Linked DNA regions of Neodiprion lecontei. The protein of the gene in region 1 interacts with the protein of each later gene in a pairwise test. Links are inferred from orthologs where the notes say so. Each region holds a gene or a part of one and is shown in the gene's direction. Other genes may lie near its edges.

Region 1 (12,552 bases):
AGTCGATGTAGGAAGACGACGAGCAGGAGATGACAGGATCTTGGAAATAACGGGACCAGCAATGAATTCGAACAACGAAAATTATAAATTGCTACAAGGACTTTTGTGTGCTGCCTTGTACCCAAACGTAGCCAAAGTTTTCACGCCAGAAAAATCATTTCAACTACAATCAGCTGGCGCTATACCAAGACAGCCCAAACCAGAGGAGTTGAAGTTCAAAACTAAAGATGGATACGTGAACATACATCCTTCTTCGGTCAACTTCACAGTCGGTCACTTTTCTAGCCCATACTTAGTTTTTCAAGAAAAAATTAAGACGAGCAGAATATTTATAAGGGAAGTATCAATGGTACCGATGCTGGCGTTAGTCTTGTTCTCTGGCTATGGTATCGATATAGAGTTACACAATGGAACTTTCATCTTGTCACTAGAAGATGGCTGGATAATGTTCAGCGTTGAATCGCACAGGGTATGTGAATCTTATTGAATATTTTCAGAGGTCAATGGAGAGTAGTTATAACAAATTAAGATAAACGATTAAAACAAGCAAACAATTAGCAATTCACTGTACTAACAACCTTTATTTCATAGGTTGCTCAACTGTTGCAACGCATGCGAGTTGAATTGGTTAAACTTCTCGAAGAAAAGATGCAGGACCCTTTATTGAATCTGGTTCACCACTCGAAAGGAAAAAAAATTATTCAAACCATCGTGAATATAGTAACCAGAGACTAGACGTTCTAAGTATCAAATAAATTATTTTTAATAATATTCCTCACGTTTAATTTTAAAACGGCTTAAATTTTTTAATTGATTTTGACTTTGATTTTCTCAGATTTCATAAAATTTGATTGAATTCATTCGACTTATCCATACCTACTTAAATGGATCGTATTTGTGTTATAGATCTATACACGCATATCTGCACACTTAAAACTTGTGACAATTATTCGACAATGTGTCCTAAAACTGTAAAAAGGCATTGTAAATATTCATCAATATTATCTATACGGAATACCTGGAAAATAATAACGGACAGTGAACTAAATAATTCAGAGAGATAAATATATTTCAAATATGTTTACAAAAAACAGAAAAAATCGTGCATTACCGTAGTTATTGCTGGAAGCCCATTTACTTCTAATCGTTACCTCTGTACACATTATAGTATCCGTAACTAATGGAGTGCTACATGGTTGACAAATTAACATATGTGATGCTGAATATTGATGTAAGGTTTATTAAATCTTTAAGCATGTAAGCTAAAACATGAAACTTAGAATTACACAGATGACGGAGGATGTGGCGGATGAGGAGGAGGAGGAGGAGGAGGAGGAGGAGGAAGAGGAGGTGGTGGTGGTGGTGGTCCCCAAGCATGTGAGGGGGAGGATGAGAATCTGGTCGTGAATATTGATGTAAAGTTTATTAAATCTTAAGTATGTAAGCTAAAACATGGAATTTAGAATTACATAGATGGCGGAGGAGGTGGGGGAGGAGGAGGAGGTGGTGGTCCCCAAGACATATGAGGGTATGGATAAGGATTAGGTCGATAAAAATTCGTTCCATAATAGGGAAAGTTAGGCCGAAAATTCGCCGGTTGACCAAACACATATTCTGGATTTGTTGGAAGACACATATTATTTTGTTGGTACCGATTAGTATATAGATGACATTGACACTGACTAGAATTAAATGTGCTGGGGTGTCTGTACCGATGAGGGGAAGACTGATTAGGCGAGTGAGTTACGTTTTGTAAGTTGGGCGAATTTTGAAATGAAGGCCGACAATTATCAGAGATCCATCGAAGCGTACCATGGCCGGAATTTGGATTTGGTGGGCGGTTACCATAGTTTTGAGATCTCCAGTCAGTGCCCCAAGGATTTCGAGGACGTTCTATAATAAGCGTATTAATGAAATTTCATAATATTTTTTATGCTATCACATTACCCGAAATTAGCTAACTTTGTTAAGAGATTTACAAATTTACTGAAACATACTTACCGGGGCATTGACGTTTTTGTGGGATCACTACATCACCACAGTTATCATGACTCTCTGACATTCCTGGTCTGTGACGTTGCTTTTGTCTTTGCAGCTGATTATAAGCTCGTTCCTCCTCATCATCTGAAAATTCTGGAGGCTCCATATCGTCTTCTCCAGAGATATCAGCACCTTTCAGCCTAGTAAGAGTTGAAAATACGTGTTTTCAAATGTTCACTAACTGACTTGGGAATCGATGGCCATGTACTGAGAGACTGCGATGTAAACTTAAGAGGTAAATATTTACTTGACTAATTCGTGAAGGAAGACCAGAGATGTGTGCTCATCGTTTAGAGAATAATATACTTCCATTCCCAAAACAATCCCCGATTGTTGAATGTGTGCTTCGCTGTTGAATCGAACACAATATTGAGGATCAGCCACATGACCAAATACATCAAACACCTTGCCAAGGACTTTTTGGCCTTTTTCAAGAAATAAAATTGAATCAAGATTTAGAGTGGGTTTACCCGAAACTGGTCGTACTATAACAAACTCCTCTACAAACCCAGTGACCTAGAGGCATATAAAATTATTATTTCACGAAAATAAAACAAAATTACATCATCTATTCTATCTTCCGTCAAATATAGAAATATTTACCTCGCCTAGGTGGTCACATGATTCTTCAGGTACTGTAATTTTCAATTCTTCGATTGGCGGTAGACCCTCAAACTCACTTTTAATATTTTTGATTTTTGGTAAATCAATTTTACTGACCCGTATAGGGCTGCAATGTAACAATCATACGTCACAAACAAAATCTTGTCCACACAAACTGCAGTATTCATCAACAAGCAATTTTTCACATCAGGTAAGGAATATTTAGCAATGTCTTACCTGTCTGATTCGCTATCAATATCACTATCGGTTTCTGTGGTATAATTGCTACCACTGGAATTTATACTACTAGATCCACTTTCAGAGTCATCATCTATAGACTCCATTCGATACTGTGTGTTATTTTGTCTCACATTGCCACGGTCATCAACAATGGTAATTACTTCGCATGGTGATGATGGTCTTTTTTCATTTTCATCCGAATCAGAACTTGCATATTCTGCCGCTAAATACGATAAGGAATTTACTACGTTTATTACCTCTACTTTGGAGATACCATCCCTTGAGTTTGAAGCTGCCTGAGCTTTTATTAAATCCATCGAAGCTGCGTTCTCAACGCTTTTGTCTTTTTGCATCAACTCATTTTGATCACTATTTTTGATCTCAATAGGCCTGTCATTCTGTGCGTCTTGAGCAACCAGTTGACCAGGCAATGTGATCAAATTTGCTGTCCGAGTTGCGTGTCTTTCTTGTATTTCTGGAGTATCAAGTCCATTTCCAACAACTTTCAAGGATTCGACATCATCTATGCTAATAGGTACATTAATCTGACCTTCCTCAGTGGTCACATTGGCCTCGACAGAATCATTTACTGATTTCATATACGAGCTGTCAATCTCCATTAGATCATGCTTCGAACTTGTTTCTGACGTATGTTGAAGCAACTTTATCGAGTCCGTAATTTCATCTTTCTCTGTGACATCTTTGATGTTAGAATATACAATTTTTACATCATCTACAGTGTCTCTTACATTCTCTTCACCGATATCCACCCTGCTTGATTTTGAGGTTAGAAGAATATCTTCGCGCTGATTCTCAGGGTCCCTTACGCCCTCGGAAGACATGGTATTATGATTTATTGGTAATTTACTTTGGTGTAGACAGTATTTTTACATGCGAAATGAACAATAGTTAATGATGTACATACCGCGGAAAGTTTAAAAAATACCATGCGCCATAGCTCCGCCGTCTCAGCTACTTTCCGCTCCCTCTAGCTCGGTATTATCTAACTTCCACCGAGTTTCTTCAACACTTTGATAGATGTCAGGAACGGTTTTATTTTGTCAACGATTTTGTTGTTGCTGGTTTTACTTGTGGAAAATTGCGCAAGCAAACTGATTGTAATTGTATAATACGTTTAGATTTTCACCTATCCTAATAAATCAACAAGAATATGAAAGACACGGTGCACAGCATGTCGACAACTCCAAATACTGAGGCTGTTCACGGTAACGGAGAGGTAATTGGATCGTGACAATTAGCGAATGTGACGGTTATGATAATTTAGAAAATTTTTGTCTAAAAATGTGGTATTATTTATTTCAATTAAAAATGACTACCTTTAGCTAATACAATCCATAACTGAACAAACACATGAGGTATAATTGATTTGTTTTAATTCATGTTTTTTTCAGGCCTTGCCAGTGGAGGAATCACCAGCCAAACTAAAATTGAGAGGATGGCTGAATCGTCACCTTAAAATCAAAATGACCGATGGCCGAGTTTTGACGGGGGCTTTTTTATGTACAGATCGTGATGCCAATGTTATTTTAGGCTCGTGTTCGGAATTCTTGTCAGAAGAACACACCGAAGCTAGAGCCCTGGGGCTTGTTATGGTGCCAGGTCGACACATTGTAACAATTCACTTAGACGCATAATTAATAATAAGTATAAGAATAAACTATTCTACGTCTGTACATTGACCAGTCAATACATTTTAGTAACATATTATCTTACGATTCTCTCACAAATATCAACATCCAGCACAACTGAAGTAACCTGTAAAGGTCATTGTTGTCTACAAAGTTATTATAATCGGCACAGCCCTCGGCTCAAACAAAATGATGGTTTTTGGATTGATATTCTTTAAAAGTAACATCGTCAGTCAGTGGAGACACCATTTTTGAATACCTAACCAGCTGACGTCAACGTTTAATGTAAACAAGTGCTGCGTGGCACGGTAACTGACAGAAGCAGAACCCCAAACGTCGTCGTGGAGTGAAATGTCAGTGTAAGATTCCACGGTGTTAAAATACCGTGAAGATCCAAACATCTTTGTGCAAACGGAGTGTTAAGATGCACGACGCCTACGAAGCTTCACCTCTCTTGAAATTGACAGTTCAGATCGAATCAATTACTGCTTACGGTAATGAGCGCCAAACATAACCTCAATCGTTCTACACCTTAACTGAAATAACTGTGCAGTATTCTAAATTATATATAAAACGCAACTTTGAATTATCAGTGAAACTTTTTACTTACAGATGATAACTTACTCATCGGCACTAGACAGGGACATTTGTTAATGTACAGTGTTCCTCCAAAGTCAAACGACAAACAAGAATTACAATTGCTTCGATACGGTAAAAACTTTAGCAAAAAACCTATTTTGCAGATCGAAGTTGTACCAGAGTACAACTTGTTGATACTTTTGACCGGTGAGTCGAATAAGAAAATAAAAATTTGAATTTTCAATTGCCAATAAGGCGATAACAATGTCCGAAAATCAATGTTTTAGACAACATCATTTGCGTACATGACTTAAATTCTGCAACAATCCCTCAAATATGTCAGTTGCAAAAAACGAAAGGTGCGACGCTCTTCGTGTTGGATGTACAACGTACTCAGAGTTTGACAGGTGAAAAAGATACAATTGTTCGCTTGTGTGTTGCTGTGAAGCGAAAATTACAATTGTACGAGTGGAAGGTGGATCAATTTATAGACTTTGGAGAAGAATTAACTGTTCCTGATGTGCCTCGAGTCTTGTCGTGGTACGAAACAAGTTATTAGATTGTAAAAGAAAAAGGTTGAGCAGCAATTGGTTGCATATCTTATTTAAATTTGCTCGGAACATTTTACGCTGTAGGTGCGGAGAAACTGTGGTTTTGGGATTCCGTGGATTATCTTATATACTTTTGGATCTAGATGGTACAAGTAAGGAATTATTTCCAAGTGGAAAGTCTCCTGAACCAGGGATAACAAAACTGTCAGACACGTCTTTTGCTTTAGGAAAAGATTCACAGTCAATTCTTATGAACACAAAAGGAGAATTGGTCCAACACAACTCTGTCAAATGGCCAGATTCGCCTAGTGCTACAGGTATCAATAATCAGTAAAACAGTGTTTCTTAAATACAATTCAATTCGAGATATTAAAAAATATATTGCGAGAATATTTATTTTCTAGCATGGGATGATCCATTTCTCATGGGTATAATTAACGATACTTTGGAAGTTTATACCTTGGAAGGTTGTTTACACATTCAAACGATACCAGAACTTAACAAAGCTAGATTATTGTGCAGGTGTAGAAAGGGCCTTGTTTATGTAGCATCAGTTAGCCAAGTTTGGTGTATAAATGCCGTGGAGGTGACGCATCAGATTCGAACACTTCTTGAACAGAATCAGTTTCAGCTGGCTTTAAAATTAACTGTGAGCATATCATTTATTATTGAAGAATTCATAAAATAATTGTTTAAACAACCAATGATCATGGTAAATTATCTGTTTCTAGCATTTGTCTGACATAACAGAAGAAGAAAAAGCAAAAAAAACGTGGAAAATACAAACGTTATACGCCCACTATCTTTTTGCTAATAAAAAATTTGCCGAGTCTATGGAGCAGTTTTTCAAATCAGGTACTGATCCGTACGAAGTAATCAGACTTTTCCCTGATCTGGTTTCCCAGCCAACCAATGCCAATGAAACTAGCGAACATGTTACAACTGTGCCAATATTGCAAGACCGTGATTTGGAACAAGGCTTGCTTGCCTTGATTAAGTTCTTGACAGAAGTGAGACATAAATTAATGGGTGATACGCAAGCAAAAGATAAAGAAAATGAGAAAAATAGTGAGAAAGATACAATGAAAGGAGAGAAAACCAAGAATATAACAGCTGTGGCTACAGAGCAGCTTTTAAAAATAATCGATACAACATTACTCAAATGTTACTTACAGGTAAATCTCAATTTTGTATTACTTAATATTTTGGCTATTCAGAATAAAATGCAGTCTTCAATCTTACAATAAATTACATTTACAGACAAATGATGCCTTGGTAGCGCCACTGTTGCGTTTAAACCATTGCCATTTAGCAGAATCGGAGAAGACTTTATTGAAATATCAGAAATACCCAGAATTAATTATATTATATCAAACAAAAGGTCAGCACAAGAAGGCTTTAGAGTTGCTTGAGAAACAATCCAACGAAAGTGATTCGAGTCTAAGAGGTACCGAGAGAACAATTCAATACTTACAGCACCTAGGTAAGGACCATATGGATTTGATTTTGAAGTTTTCTGGATGGGTTTTGGAACAGGACCCAGAACAGGGCCTCAGAATATTTATGGAAGATGTGCAGGTAATAATAATTAGTAGCATACCCACATTTTTCATCTTTCTTATATTCTGTGAATGGAATACTCTGTGGAAGCTCCCTGCCGTTATTTTACTAACTTGTACATATTTAATGCCGACAGGAAGTTGAACATTTGCCACGTCCCAAAGTATTGGATTATCTTTTACGTTGTCACAAAGACTTGGTGATAACGTACTTGGAGCATGTGGTTCATTTTTGGATGGATAACAATCCTCTATTTCACAACGTCCTGGTACACCAATATAAAGAGAAGTGTTTAGCAGGCTTGAACCCAAATGCTTCGCCGGCTGAAAAGCAAAATGTTCAGCACCTTCGACAGAAACTACAACAATTCTTAGAGAAGTCAACTCATTACACGCCAGAAACGGTCCTAGTTCATTTACCATTTAATTGCCTATTCGAAGAACGTGCGATTATTTTAGGACGATTGGGTCGTCACGAGCAGGCCATCTCCATCTATGTAAACTTATTAAATGACGTCCCCAAGGCGATTCAATTCTGCAGTAATGTATATGCAAAATTCGAAGGTTGGTATCATCTAAATGAATAATAAAAATATTCATTCTACATGATGAATATGTATTGAAGGTCAGAAAAATTCAGAAAAGGGGAAAAATCAAGATGGGGCCGACGAAGTCTATGTTACTTTGATCAAGCAACTTTTGAAGCCGGACAACGAAGGTGTCTTGGTAGCTACTGGTAAATCTCTATCATTTTCAAGATTCGCATTGTGTTACAGAAATATTTTTTGAAGTTGCGCTTTTAAGTGTACCTGTTGGTAAACTTATTTTATACTGTAGGGTGCACTCCAGAGAACCGAAGGACAGCTCAACCTGACTTGGAAACAGCTTTGGAATTGCTTGAGGAACATGCTGCAAAAATCGAACCCTTGAAAGCCTTGGAGGTTTTGCCTGACAATGTACCAATAGGTCGGATAAGACATTTCCTCGAGGCTAGCTTGCAGAATAATCTAAATGAACGACGAAGGACCCAAATTCTGAAAGGCTTGCTTTATGCTGAACACCTCCAGGTACAGGAGCAAAGAATGCATTACGAGTCCCAGAGCGTTCTCTTAACGGAGTTCAATATTTGTCCGGTATGCAAAAAACGTTTTGGAAATCAAAGGTAAATCATTTCAAAAATCTCTATTCGTTAACCGAACCATAACTGTGATTATAGCTGAATGATCCTTGCATATTGTCATTAAACTTAATAAAAACATTGATTGGTTGGTATACGCTCCAAGGACCATACAAATTACAAATTTTGAAACAGTGTTACTCAGTTTTTTCTAAACTAATTACAATTATGTTTTTCTTTTTGTTCACAGTGCATTTGCAAGATATGCCAATGGTGATATTGTTCACTATTCATGTCAAGAGAAAAAGGCGTAACGTATGTGAAAAGAATATGTATATAATTTTACATTATCGAAATCGAACATTTATAAATACTACTATACTATGATCCCCAAGTAAACGTGCAAAGGTATTGAAGTCAAAGAATCTATTATTGCATATATTACCTATGAATTTATTTTATGTGTTTCAACGTAAACGCATATGCTCGGCTGGTAAATCTTGGACTGTTGAACCTACTATACTTATATAACAGCTGCCAGGCCTGTATCTGTATAATCTTAAGGTGCAAATGCACCGAACGAATCAGTAGCTATGTATATGATCAGTAAATTAAATATCTGCCAACAGTTTGGTCAAAAAATAATTTCTTTCAGCCAAGTCACTCTCATTCCTAGTGTAAGATAACACAAAATTATGGATAAAATATATAACGATACTACATCTGCTAAGATTGATCGAACGCGTTCAAAGCCGAAAGATCGTGCCCGGGATACAACGATTCTTCTGTGCCGAGATTATCGCCCAATAATAACGTATTAAGTATCGAATAAATATAAAATACAGCAAATAATAAGGATCATTGAAGGATGGGGCGTGCCCATCGGCAAAATGTGTAAACGGGGCCGATGATGTCATACTCTTAGTGTATTCATACGCCCAATGTCACTATAGTCCGTGAGTCTATAGTTTACATGCGTGATCCCTGAAATTGACTAAAAACGCATGAAATCGGAGTCTGCAATTCACTTTTCGGATGAATTATCGTTCGGGATACACCGTCGTCTTTTACGGCGGCCAAATATTTCGCCGTGAACGTGATTCTCGGCGTCGCGACGCGCGAGTAGGCGGGACTAGTTCTTCTCCGCGAGGTCTGGACGCCGTGTTGCATTGCACAGTTGGTTGCGCGCCGGTCGTGTGAGTGAGGAGACGTACCGAGTGAATCTAGAAGTGGTTTATCGTGTATTTTGTGGAGTTTTTATGCAAGTTTTGAGGTGAAACGGTGCTTGGGAGTATTTTTTAGCCAGGGTAAGTCACACGTCGAAACAATTGTGAGAGAGTGTCGAGTATAGCTACCGTTTGTAGGATCGTACGCGGATTGACGGGCGGAATCTTGTCTCCCGTAAAAATGGTGGTCGATTTACTCTCGGTTTCCTAATTTACTGATTATAACGCATACCGAGATATTTCACGACTCGATACCACGTTTGAAGAGATCGCCGTACATCCTGCCACGTTCAATTTTCCCTCAAGGCGCTCGGTAATACCTCGATTTTCAAATTTTCACCGAAACTATGTCAATCCGATTACCTGCATTAACGGCGTCCACTGGGATGAAGAAAAAATTGAAGTCCGTTTCTACTCGATAATTTCACTGTAATTGAAATAAAAATTGAAAGAAATCGTCGCGGTTTATACAAATCGCATCAACGAACAATTGTCTGTAACGACGTTGCCCACCGCATCCTTATCATTAGCCTAATGATTTAGGCACGACGTTCGATCGAGCTTAGATATAATCCCTTCCGTACCTGTCAGGACTGCCAATGACCAAATTGTTGTTACTTAATTCGAACAAAAACAGAGCCAACAATGATACAGTAAGCTGCCTTTTTGCTTCATTCCGTATTCCAACTCTCTCGCATCGTTATTCAATTGTTCTCGGTCTGCTCTGTTTACTGTTACGTCAAGCCGGCAGGTGCAGGAGCTGCGCTCTAAAGGGACGACACAACGCTGACTGAATAAATTAATAAATTAACAGTATACGCGAAGAAGTTCCTTTGCAACCGTTCGTCAAATCCCTTTCCCTACTAAAAAAACCTACTCAACTTTTCATTTAAATATCTTGTGAATTCGATAATTTACCGATTCTCTCCTGACATCGTTTTATTATAAATAAATTGTTTGCGCGGAAGATGCGCGATAGAAATCATTTCCTCCGACGGTACACGTTCTCTTCGTTCTTTATTATTTATTTTTTTTTCTTTCCCTCACATCGTACCGAAGGAATGTTCTAATTTCGGCACGATATAAAACTTTTCGTAGTCGATGAAAATTTACTATACGCATACATTCGTGTATGAAAAGTGTGTTTATTATATAGCGTAACCCGGTCGTATAAATATTTGAAAACACGATATTCATACAACGTGTGTATGCGGTAGTCTGGAACATAAAATTTGTCGGAAATGCGTCCGCCTTCTTTTATCCAATCGATTGCCAGGACGAAAATTTTATGCAAAGAAGCCAACCGTCTTGACGATGTATTTTGTATGCACCAGCTGCCTCAAGCAAACTTGACTACGTGTCTATACGTTTGAAATGAGACTTGGAAATTACGCGCAGTAATTTGTCTCTTCTGAAATAATATCGGTTGAGAATGTATTTGAAAAATCAGTATAATCTCGATCCGTTATATCTTATCCTTACACGTATTCCCCTTTGTATACCTTTTATATCTTTTACATAGACAAGCGTCCCTTGAGTTTCGTCACGTCAATACACGCAGGTATATAATTGTACGCATATAGGTGTATATAAAATCAATATTAAAAAGTTCCCTTCATATTCGGTTATGTATATAATCGTCGTGAAATTAGACCATTCTTAACGGTTGATTAAATCGACAGATATATTACATACCGTATATATATGATATATCCTATATCTACGTTTTTTCCACCTTATCTACCATACCTTAGACACATACACATAGTACACATATGTACTTGTAAGAGCCTGACATAATGACTGTTTCGAATTACGACCAAATGTACGGTCTATCTTTTTACTGTTCGCTCACTCATTTTAAGTCGGTATACTTAAATTCCAAAATAACGTGCGCGTATGTTTTTCGTTGATTTCATACGATATTATTTTACTTTCGGTGCATGTAATCTTTCGCCTTATAATAGAAATAAAAAAACGTCTACGGTACTCTAAGGCTTCGTCGTTTTATAACACTCTAACCACATGCTCACATGATCTATGCCCTATTCTTCAATCACATTCGAAACTTTCACGCAGCGAGCGTAAAGTTTTGCCTCATTCCTCCTCTCCGCATCTCACGGAGAAGAACCTATCTATCCTGTACCTTCTTTACGCGTATCTACTCGATCTAACTGTAGAACCGTTATGAACAAAGTATACAGTCACTGTGCAAGCCGTCTTTCCTTCGTAGTACATTATACCCCGTTGGTATACTATATGTGTATACCTATATGGTATAATACAATGGGAAGCTGTCGCGAAAACTCAAGAAGCTGGTACACACGGATATTTCTAACGGACTGCGGTGTTTCTCGGAAGTAGAAAGAGAACAAAAAATCGCGAGATCAAAAATTAGAGAAATGGAAAGGTTGGGGAAAAATCAGAGGCGAAGTAGAAGGGGAAAAAAAACGTAAAAAACGTGGAAAGATATTTTGGACACCGTATATCGTATATGAGCCTAACCCTCGTTGACCTAATTTTAGACGAGAGGCGTATACACGTTGCTGCTCAGCACACCCTTCCTTTGTATGTATACATAATAGATATACATATATGCATTGCGTTGAGCAAAATTGGGTCATTCATTTATGTATATAACACACGCACCAAGTTCCGCGACTTCTAGCTCTGCAGGTCATTTACCGAGAAAGGATTTCCGCCCTCCACTGTCCACTTGTTTTATTTTCACTCTTTTTATTTTACGCGTAAACAAGAAAGAACAGCCTAAAAATAAATATAATAACATTTATCGACGTTAAACGAGCGAAAAATTAATTAACAGATTTGATAACTCACCGCGGGTGTTGAGGTATTTTAAACGTCGATAACGAACAATCGAATGTAGTATTAAATACCCAAGTGTTCGTATAGGCTTACGTGCATGAAACAACGATCGTCACCGGCGAATGGTAAATTAGCGTAAATGCGGATGTGACGTTGTGGTTG
Region 2 (11,399 bases), on another chromosome or scaffold:
AGCGGCTACCTTATATGCGACAGTCTGGCGGTGGTGGGTGAAAACGACGATTTCTTTTTTATTTTGATATGCATTACAGAAATAGGTATTAAAAAAATTGTACATATCAGCTAATGAATCGAGTGGAATAGAGACTAGACCGGTTCTTCGGTACTTGATGTATATGTATATTTCAGTTACTCAATTGAACACTTATATGTCTACATGCAATCGTGTATGTACATACATAATAATTCGGCTCGCGTGCAAGAAGTACATTGCGGTGATTTTCGATCGTTTTGAAAGCGACAGTTATTTTAGATTGATTCTGCACGAACGAGAAAGGTGATATTAAACTTTATCCCTGGGTGAAAGAAATTAAAAAATAAATAAAAAAACGAAAGAGAATGAGGGGAAAAACATTTACAATTAATGTGTCTAACAGCATTCGAAACGCTAACGGTGTAAAAAAGAATTCGTTTTATGGGCATTGATGGTATTATACACTTGTTAACTTTTACAAGCGAGAGGCTACATTATAGTCAGGCGGATTCCTTTAAACCTTGACTTGAAAGACGTTTATAAGAATTTCGAAAGTTAAAGAATAGCTTCCTCGCTTTGACCGTACGAAGCTGCACGTTCATTGAATCAACCAACTTATACGTATATATTATAACATGTATACGATTTTCGCAAAAAGAAGTTATGAGAAAATTTTTTTCATTGTGTATGTAAAAGGAATTCTCCCCGCGCGGGGAGCGGAAGACATGGAATATTTGGTGAATATATCAAAGTGGATGATGCGGAGAAGCTGTATGATGAAGAATTGCGTTTATTTGTACACAGGCATACACGTAAATGTGTGTAAGAGCTCGTCCGTCCTACTTGGTGTAACTTTCACTTACGACTGGCGTAAGAGGTCCAGATGATGAATCCAGGAGTTAACCATAATAAAAAATCCATCGCGCACGATCTAACGGTAAACGGAAGAAAAAAATTCCAATGAAAAAATTGACGTACATCCATATTTACAAACGGCTGAATATTTCGGTTAGAGAAAAAAAAAAAAAATTCATCAACCGATAGTTCGATCGAAAAAGAAGTTCATTCGGTTTCATCGTTATATCTGTATTTTCTTACTTCGTCTTAAGAAAACGAATTCATGTTTCTAAGCTTGAATATGACTTTCGACTTGTAGACGAAAAAGAAAAAACGACCTGTTGCCAGCAGTTGGGACATATATAATATATCTTGTCGTACTGGTACAGTTTCAATTTCGTTCAATTCTCACGCTCCACGAAGCTCGTCTAACGATACAGTTTGTACGTTAGCCACGGAGTTCTTACAAAAATCCAAGAGTTTGTACATCGCACGCAATACGTTTCGCCGTGGATATGTGGCGGTGATTACACCTTTAAATTCGTATTACAAGTGTTACACTTGTATGCAGTGCGCGCGTGCAAATACGACTCTTCCGACGAGTGATGTGCTGGCAGGCAGGCAGGCAATAACGTAACTGCTGAAGAGTGAAAGTGTTGCTAAGTGGGACGAGGGAATCGTGGGTACTTGCGTTTATAATTAACAAATAAACCGAACGCGAATATACTCCGTACTCTTACCCCTTGCTTACCTAGACAGCTTATAATAATTAAGGTATTCAAAATTCCCGCGCGCATGCAGATTACACGATGTAATTAATTCGTATGCGTAACGCAAGTGGGAGTATACCTCTTACAAGGGATATAATGATGTACAATTATTTACAGGACCGCGGGAAAAAATAGCTCCCTGGGAATACGGCACGCCTCTTCAAAAAAGATGCGTCTATCCCGGCGGGATAATTGAACCAAACTTGAAATATACATGAAATATACCGTGCAAGATACGACCACGATGGCCACCGTCGATAACACCGGGTCCGGCACCTGCTTATGCCGAATTTGCGACTCCGTGCGAGAAACCGTACGCCAAATATTTATCGTTCTTGACAAATACCGATGGCTTCTGGACGCCTACATCGTGGTTAGTTTTTATCGATTTCTGTACCGTTTAATTTGCCTAGAACAGAAGGAGAACAATACGTTAGGATCGCTGGTCGGTTTATTATTCTTGTTATTATCACCCAGTCGAGATGCTGTTCCACGAACGTGCAAGAATCTAGAGCAGCGATTCCGCTAGCTACTAGGTCTTTTCGTCGGCCGAAAGTTGCGGCCTCGTGCAGCGCGCGAAAGATTAAAAAACTATTGGGTAAGAAGTGAAAAATTTCATTCACATTATTGATATTTTTTCATGCTCAACATTTCCAAGGATTTTTACGAGGCCGATTTATGGGAAAGACTTCCGGGTGGTTGGATCGATTTCTTCAAAGACATCACGCCGGGGGAACTTGGATCCTGGATTTTGAACGAGGGTTCGAGGTGATAAGTAACAAGATTAAGAATAATCATTTTCATATCATATTTCATATAATCATTTCATATTCAAGAATAATATTACTCAATAATCATTTTCCTTGTCGATTTGAATATCAAGCAACTGTACTACCGAAACATTTTATCCCATTCAGTGTCCGAGTCTGGCCGTTATCTCTGCAGGCGCTTCGTCGAGTCGTCGGTATCTTACAGGTACACAGAAATCAGAGGAGCGAGATCGCGTTGAAATGCGAAAATGTCCGTAAAACGGAGAATACGGATTTTGTCAAGCCTCAAGTGAAACCGAGCACGTGTTCGAGTCATTCGAAGTTACGCGATTTACTTGGCAAACACGTAAAACCGAAAAAGAAACATGAAATCGAAATAATGGCGAAGGTAATTAGTTACTAACGCGTAACTGCCTTTTAACATTACTCGCCTTAATTAGCTGCATAATTAGTTTCTAGCGGAAAGGAGGCAAATATTTTACATTGATTGCATCATGCGCGACCGCAGGTGTTCGGTTTGAACTGTCAGTCGCGTGATAATTTCTTACCAAGAATCGACGTTGTAAACTCTGAAGGTTTGCTGAATTTTCAGATAATAGCGGATTGTGCTGCTTCGGCGAAATCGGAATGCGCTGTCGATGTTGGAGCCGGAATTGGTCACCTCGCTAGAACGCTTGCTTATCGACACGAGATGTGCATAATTTGCGTTGAACAGCAGTCTTTATTGTCGGAACAAGCCAGGTACGCAATTTCTGGAAAAATAAAAATGTGTTAGTAGGTAGAAAACTGAATATAGGTGAGATGATATCAAGATTGATGAAATCTGCTAATGTTTCTTCTACAGAAAACTAGATACACAATTTGAATCTATCGCCATGAAGTACGTAACCAACATCCGAGAGCAAAAACCGCATCACGTGTCTTTGAAGATAGAAAGAGATTCATCTGAATTGTCCTTTTTCATGGATATAATAAACAAAGAATTTACAGAAAAGTTCAGATTAAATCCAGAATTTTCAGGATTCGGTTTGATTGGTTTACATCCCTGCGGGGATTTGGCAACAACGCTGCTACAATCTTACGCAGAGTCGGACCGTGCTAAGTTCATTTGCGTCGCAGGATGCTGCTACATGAAGCTTTCGCTTGGGTAAGGAGTTTGAATAACAAAAGTTTTAGATTCTTATTATTCGCTTATAATTTAACTCGAGAATTTAAAGCCCGCAGAGCTACCCTCTCAGCAAATATCTACGCACAACTGGGATTGATTACGATCTCTCGTACACAGCTTTGGAAGTTGCCTGCCATGCGGTAGAAAACCATTGCATAAAATTGAAGTCTGCCGAATGCTGGGAACTCAAAGTATGACTGTAATTTATTTCTACAGCATTGCGAGCATTGTATTCATTATGAAATATTCCTTTGGTTATAGATACATGCTTATCGAGCAACGCTAGAGAGTCTCATCGTTCAGAGAAACTCCTCTCTACGTCATGCTCAGCTCAAAAGTTTCAAGCTCAAGGAAAATACCACATTTGAAGAGTCAGTAGTTTACGGTTACTCGTGATGAAAATATTTCCTTAATCAATATTAACTTTTAAATCCTTGACTGTTTCTATGCAGTTTAAGCTAAGACTGAGATATGAATACTCACTTGTATTTTGCAGGTACTGCATGGCAGTTACAGAAAATTTTACTGAAGAGAATCGTCCACGGAGGGTAGAGGAAATTAGAAATCCTAAAACAGCCGAGTTGCTAGAACGCTGGGAACAGGTTGTGGTATTTGGTTCCCTCAGATCGATGCTAGCACCGTTGGTCGAGAGTGCAGTTTTGTTGGATAGATTCTTGTACCTGTCAGAGAAAAATTTATCGCCAAAATTAAAGGCTGTCTTCGACCCATTTCTATCGCCGAGAAACTTTGTATTAACATCTATTAAGTAACTGAATATTGTGTCATTTGCTCAAAAATTGTACAACAGGGATTTTGGTCTGTTTACAAATTCACAATAAAGAAGGAAAATTGTTCACCCTGTTTCACTGCATGCTTTAACAACATGTCTGATTAATTTAATAAGCCTATTTATGCAAGTAACTGAATATTTCGTACCAGGTACATACAGTGTACAGAAGTAAAAAACAGATGAAAGTACGCCGAGTTCCAAATTAATGCTTGAGATTGTACCCTATTTCGTTCTTTCTTATTTCAACCCACATGACTTTTGCGGTGGCGATTAGACTGCTTCAGAATCGTTCCAGTATTCATATTTTTCGAAATCACGGATATTAGAACAATCAAACGCGATAATCGTGTAAAAAAAATGTGTTTAGTGTGACTCGATCGCAATTCAACAACGCGCTCTACGCTTGTCCCACAATCCATTGCGCGCGCAGGCGTGATGCTTTTGTTTTCTCAGAAAATTCAAACGCAGATTACTACGCGAAAATTCGCATCGTTGCATAGCTGGAAATTTAATTAAACGTGAGTGAAACGAAAGGATGAGATATCAAGAAGGTCTACGGCCAGGCCTCAGATAGGGAATCGCGTAGTTTGGACTTTGCTGGTTAAAAGAAAAGAAAATATCCGAGCGTCCAAATTCCGAATCAGACTTCAGGAGGAGTCCGAATGCGACCGAACAGTGCCGAAGTATATCGAGTGACGTCACGGCCAGCAGAAGAGATAAGCGAAATAATAAGCAACTGAAAGAGCGTTGAAACGAAACTACTACGCTTCCCTCGTCGTGTACTTTGAAAATTACCGTGTTTTGACGAACTTTGTAGAATTTGAAATGTCTTACGCTTACCTTTTCAAATACATTATCATCGGTGATACGGGTAAGTTGTTGGAGACTCGACAAACTCTTTCAGAATCCCGATCATCTGTCTGTATTACGTTGCCGTGACAGCTCCCATTGTTTTCATGTCATTGCATTCACCAATATTCACACTTCCTTCATTTTTTCTTTCGACTAACCCCTCTTGGCTAGACAGACGAGAAAAATCAGTTTTTTTTCATTGCCCCAATCCTCGGCCGAGGTTACCTGGATATTAGAGCTGATGAATATTCATTCTCAATAAACGATTGCGATCATATTTTTGATGGAAATTTTACAGTAAAAATTAACCTCATTTCTAATTGTTCTAAGCAGTATTTAATCTAATGATTATTCGGATGATTCATGCGGATCTTACGTTTTTCTTTGCATCGTCTTGCTAATGTCAACAGCTTCTTCCGACGATAAAAATCTTGTCTATAATCTCATTCACAGGAGTCGGCAAGTCGTGTCTCCTGCTGCAATTCACAGACAAAAGGTTTCAACCAGTACATGATTTGACTATTGGCGTTGAGTTTGGCGCGCGTATGATCACAATTGATGGGAAACAGATTAAGCTGCAGATTTGGGATACGGTAAAGAACAAAGCTGCATATGAAATTCAGTTCATTTTCATTTACTTTTTTAAAATTCTTGATTTAATTTACTCGCAGGCAGGGCAAGAAGCGTTCCGTTCCATAACAAGATCATATTATCGTGGCGCGGCAGGAGCCCTACTCGTCTACGATATAACTCGCAGAGAGACTTTTAACCATTTAACAACATGGCTAGAAGACGCACGGCAGCATTCCAATTCCAACATGGTTATAATGCTGATTGGAAACAAGAGCGATCTTGATTCACGGAGAGAGGTTAAAAGAGAAGAGGGTGAGGCGTTCGCTCGAGAACATGGTCTTGTATTCATGGAAACGAGTGCAAAGACTGCAGCCAACGTCGAAGAAGCATTTATCAACACTGCCAAAGAGATTTATGAAAAAATACAAGAAGGTGTCTTTGACATCAACAATGAGGTGAGAAATAGATCAGGAACTAAGATAAGTTTAAGAGGTGTGAAATGGTCTTACGGAATTTATTTTTTTCAGGCAAACGGCATCAAAATTGGACCTCAGCATTCGCCGACAAGCCCAGGTGGCTTGGCGGGAACTGGAGGTCAGGGTGGCGCTCAAGGTGGTGGATGTTGCTAGGGGCTGGGGCTTCGCTGCTCCCCGTTTCCCTGCGAACCGATCTAAAACGATCCCCCCCCCCTCCATCCCGTTCCTGCTCCACGTTTTCAACGATTTGTATATTCATTTGTATATTTGTGTGTACGTCGCGTATCGATTCAGTGTATCGATGGATGGGCAGTAATTGGTATAATTTATAGTTTTCAGAATCTTATTCGATATTGTAATAAATAAGATTTGTCGCGTGATTTATTCAGGGTTGATAAACAAAATAGTACATAAACAGAGAGTAGGCAGTTTTCACTTAACGAGACTCTTAGCGGTACTCCTTCAACGTATAAAACTTCGTGTGTAAACTTAGAACTTTGACGCTCTGAATGAAACCGATGTATAAGGAATGACGAGCGACAGCTTGATTCCCGTGTTTTAAAATACATGTAAGACAGAAAAACTCTTTGTATTCAATATTAACAATAGTGTTATTGAATGGCCAGTATGACCCTCCCGACCCCGCAGGCTCCATTTGGTGAAATGAAACGGAAAAAGAATAAAATAAAAAATTCGTAAAAGTTATTATTTTACTTGGAGCAGGAATATTGGCTTATACTAAATCAATTACCTTAACGCGACAGCATGTATATGGATGTACTATTGATGTACCTATATGACGAATACAAAGATTAATTTCAATTAAACTCCAGTTTGGAGACCTATGTAACCAAAATCAATGTTTTTGTTTACATATAGAATTATTAAAGGTAACGACTATCATCAATCAGTTTACGTAACTTTCGTTAACGTCTCGATAGCAAACTGATGATAAAATTTTAGGGGATAGTAGGATAACGAGAATCGTAAAGCATTTGAAACTGTCGGGAAACGGATGTGCTCCACAACAATTTACACAACTATTTGTTGTTCCTTCTCGTTGATCTTATGCATCAAATACGTCTTCTCCCCTTCTATTTCTGTATCATTTTCCTATATTTTACTCAGTACGTCAGCTTGGATTTTATACACTTGAATGGCTTAAAGCATTTTCGTGAATTATTATGTAAGAGCCTGACGCCGTCTCTGATCAATGAATCGTAAAGTCAACTCCCTCAATCAAATCAGACGTTTGTTTTGTCAACAAACATGTTAAGAAAAACGTTTAAAGACTTATTTTAATTTAGCAAAACAGTTAGCACACATGCACCTTCATCTCATTACGATTGTTTTAGTCCTAGTCAATATAAAAGTGAATGTCCGATTATCTTAATCATGAAAAGAAGAGAAATGAAGTGAAGGAAAAAGAAATATGTATATCGCAACAAGCGTAGTGAAGATTAAACTTGACTCACTTGATATTCAACATTGCATACATAATAATATATACAAAAATATTATAACATGTATAATTTGAATTGAAATGAAATCATCGGTGAATTGAGAATTACGTGTACGATAAACTGATAATTCGTTGTGATCCGTAATTTACTTATCATTATTTAATTATGATTATTGTACTATCCTTGGAGCTTGGTAAAGTTAGTTTATGATATGTCCAATTATTATAATAAGGAAATATTTTACTTGTACATCAACTAGCGTTTTAAATTTTAATCACGCTTATGTATCTTTCTTTTACCATTCTACTATAATATATGCTGGTTTTCTGATTTACTCGTGCATTTAATTTTAAACATTCGTTAGACATACTATTTATACCAAGCACCCCATTAGCAGAAAGTATAAGATACAGTGTCTAACTATATTTTCCCGACAAGGCTAAATTACCGTCTCGATACAACTTTGCTTGATGATCATTTGAACATTAAGCCACTCCAATGTATTTAAACTCATTAGTTAATTATCATCATATACGTGAGTTTTCCGCTCTTACAGACACAGGACCAATCTAAAAACGACTAGGTTTCAAGGTTCACGGTGTTGTTGCCGGCGCGTGTAGACCAGGGTGTAAAGATGCAAAATACACAGGATATAAATAAACATCGTATGATATATTTAAACAACCAGTAGTAACAAAGGAGGCATCTCTTTCATGCATCCATAGCAACAAAACAGCGTTCTTCATATTTCATAGAAGCTGCTAGTTATACTTTCTGTGTATGCAATATAACATATCACATACACTTTCAGCAAAGGATAATTGTCTATTACAATGTAGCTAACAATAGTGGTACTGTATATCACAAGAGAAAGAAGGAAAAATTTTTTAAATAAAAGACAGGAAACGAAATTTTACTTCATTAGCAATAATTAATTTAATTTATGATTCATAATGACTATGTTCCTAAATAAAAACATGCATATATGTATACATATGAAAGCATACGTACACATATACGTATATATTCGTATTATACGCATCTTGTTAAAGAATATCACTTCTTACATACGATTATATTAAATATATAATTATTTTTATGTTTTCTTTTCATATTTATTATTTCTGTTCAATTTCAATTAGCCATAATAATATGTAAGGTGTATCTATTACGTTATTTAAAGTACAATTTATAGTAGTAATATAATAAGCAGCGCCATAGCGCCGTTTTGCAATCAGTGCACAGCTTTGTATATACGATTCGGTTTATTACGTTTAATTATTGATTTATTGTTATTCTTGTTACTACTATTAGTATCATCATTATTATAATTATTATTATTGTTACAGTTATTGATTTCATGATTTTTTTGTTTTTCTTTTTTTACTTCGTTTTTTTTTTTTTGTTTGTTTTCGTTTGGTCTTACAGTGTAACGTTGCTTCAGTCGTCTTTGGCAGAGGTGTGCGTACAGCCTTGCAGAACCTGTATCTCTCGTATATCGATAACTAAAGACGTTTTATTGTAAGCATGCCTGTTCCCTGAGTTGGTCTTATACAACCTCTTCAGTCTTTCCCATTACTCTTTTACTTTATTGGTTTTTATTCTTTTTTATGTCTTTTAAATTTAATTTATATATATAATTTTTTTTATTTTTTTTTTATCCGTTACCTACAGCAGTCGTACAATCGCGGCAATCCCGTGTTAATTAATATGTAGGTAAGTGGTAAAACAGGCTTATAATTTTTTTTTTCCGAAGGCAAAAAGGCCAGCTCGATTACATGTATATTCTAGCATTCAGTTAGTTTTCGTCAAGAGTTTTGGGAAACGTGACTGGAAACCGTCATCGAAAGTAATTCTTAAAAAGCCGTAACATTTTAGTTTCACGAATGTAGTTTAAATTATCGATAATAACGATTCAAAAATAGTATCAACTAACACGGCACCAGTCCAAGTTTTTCCCGTATACTCTTAGAATTGGGTATACCCGAGGCACAGTCACAGTATGTGTGTATTAAACAATTGTCAACGATTCGATACAACGTTTCATTTATACAACATGTAATCACAGAAAACCCAAGAATTATACATCATCTATATTCATATATATGTGGATGTATATATTACATGTATCATATACATGTGCATGTGTGCGTGGTGTGTGTGTATGCATGTGTGTGTGTGTGTGTGTGTGTGTGTGTGTGTGTGTGTGTGTGTGTGTGTGCGTGCGCGCGCGCATAACTATAATATTGCAGAAAAGATAAACAAATTTTAGATATGCTCTTTTTTTTACATACTCCACAATAAAAATAACTTCATACTTCACTCTCTTCTTTTTACCTATGTCGTCGTCGTTAGTATTATTATTATTTACCCTACCTACCCGTTAAAAAAATCAACAGCTTCACTTCATAAACTGATCAAAGACGCCACTTGAAAATGTAGTAGGCGACAATGGCGATGCTCAAATCAACACTTACCTACATGTATTTACAAAGAATCTAAAAGTACTGAGATAGGAATGGTGCGATATCCGCGTCTTGCACGATCAACTCCCAAAGGCAGCAGCGTTACGTCACGGAAAATGCATAGGAAACAAAAACGAGTAAAATCGTCAGCTTTAACTTACCAAACGCTTACAAGCAATTTTTACTCTACTATTATGGTAGGTAGTCGCTTGGGCCGTTTTCCAGTTCTCTGTTTTCTGTGTACAATTGTATCTCTTTTACCAGGGCTCGTCGTTGCATCGATAAATTCGACACAGCTATCAGAACCGCTTGTATTTAGATCCAACTTTCGTTTTCTCGATCTTGTAATCGGGCCGTTTTCATTTCCGCTACCATTTCCGCCTCCACTTCCGTTACCACTTCCATTATCGTCTTGCTGAAGAATCACGTCGTCATGATCGCGTTTGCGTCTTTTGGCTCTGGAGCCACCGGGGTGATCCGACCTCTCAGTCTTCCGGCTAGTTATTCTTGGCGAATTCGAGTCGGACGAGGAAGACAAAGAACTGAGATATTCGTTTACCCTTTCCTCGCCAAAGTCAAAAGCACTGGGTTGCGCAGGGGAGGCGGAAGCGACGGTGGTGCTCGCGCTGGGTGGTTGCAGTAGCTGTACCGAGGCGTTCGAGGAGGCAATGGAAGCCGAAGAAGACGCGGAACTCGATGTGGACCGCTTGGGAAGCCTTCGTCTTTGCGCAAGCTTTGCCGAATCGACCTCCCTCAGCTTAAAGCTCTGCCCCTTTTCGCTCGTTGAGGTTGAGGCTGATGTAGAAGAAGAAGAGGATCCGGCTATTGGTGCGGCGGCAGGTGTAGTTGAGCCTAAAATCCACTCGTGATTAACAAGCTCGGTGGCAGTGAGTCTCCGATTGGGATCTGTGGTCAAAAGACCCTGTGCAACGTTCTTCGCCGATGCTGAAACACCTCGCCATGCCTCTCCCTCGAAGTCCACGTCACCCGTCTTGACGCGCGATGCAAAATCCGGTGAATCCGTACGGAATGGTGGCCGTCCCGAAAGCATGGAATAAAGGATGGCGCCCAAACTCCAGAGGTCACAGCTCTCGTCGTACCCTTGCCTGGCAAGAACCTCTGGCGCTGCATAGGGAAGCGTGAAGCAGGGAGTGTGAAGAGGCTCGCGGCCTTGTTTAATTCTCGCAAACCCAAAGTCAACCACCTTGACCAAC

What was found. The genes of interacting proteins can lie anywhere in the genome.
Region 2: the proteins of vam6/Vps39-like protein (region 1) and ras-related protein Rab-2 interact in a two-hybrid assay, tested with the Drosophila melanogaster proteins (2 studies listed by BioGRID). The link is inferred for Neodiprion lecontei from reciprocal best matches to the Drosophila melanogaster genes Vps39 and Rab2.

Annotation. Positions count from the first base shown.
Region 1 is NC_060265.1:27,121,421-27,133,972, reverse strand, and holds vam6/Vps39-like protein, read left to right. Parts: upstream 1-4,760; 5' UTR 4,761-4,956; coding exon 4,957-5,026; intron 5,027-5,144; coding exon 5,145-5,318; intron 5,319-5,398; coding exon 5,399-5,651; intron 5,652-5,746; coding exon 5,747-5,979; intron 5,980-6,066; coding exon 6,067-6,311; intron 6,312-6,393; coding exon 6,394-6,837; intron 6,838-6,922; coding exon 6,923-7,240; intron 7,241-7,358; coding exon 7,359-7,785; intron 7,786-7,846; coding exon 7,847-7,957; intron 7,958-8,058; coding exon 8,059-8,383; intron 8,384-8,588; coding exon 8,589-8,652; 3' UTR 8,653-8,983; downstream 8,984-12,552. Other genes in the region: putative ATP-dependent RNA helicase DHX57, read left to right, coding at 1-469, 592-735; H/ACA ribonucleoprotein complex non-core subunit NAF1, read right to left, coding at 1,466-1,893, 2,002-2,180, 2,288-2,556, 2,644-2,770, 2,881-3,725; N-alpha-acetyltransferase 38, NatC auxiliary subunit, read left to right, coding at 4,055-4,120, 4,296-4,538. UniProt on the Drosophila melanogaster protein: Part of the homotypic fusion and vacuole protein sorting (HOPS) tethering complex involved in endo-lysosomal vesicle trafficking and lysosome biogenesis.
Region 2 is NC_060266.1:24,867,903-24,879,301, reverse strand, and holds ras-related protein Rab-2, read left to right. Parts: upstream 1-5,058; 5' UTR 5,059-5,181; coding exon 5,182-5,227; intron 5,228-5,661; coding exon 5,662-5,801; intron 5,802-5,879; coding exon 5,880-6,236; intron 6,237-6,308; coding exon 6,309-6,410; 3' UTR 6,411-8,054; downstream 8,055-11,399. Other genes in the region: methyltransferase-like protein 25B, read left to right, coding at 1,843-2,001, 2,287-2,396, 2,546-2,786, 2,991-3,139, 3,243-3,545, 3,616-3,757, 3,828-3,937, 4,063-4,336; ribosomal protein S6 kinase alpha-5, read right to left, coding at 10,367-11,399. UniProt on the Drosophila melanogaster protein: May be involved in bidirectional endoplasmic reticulum (ER) to Golgi trafficking. Together with Rab7 involved in promoting fusion of autophagosomes and endosomes with lysosomes, probably through recruitment of the HOPS tethering complex.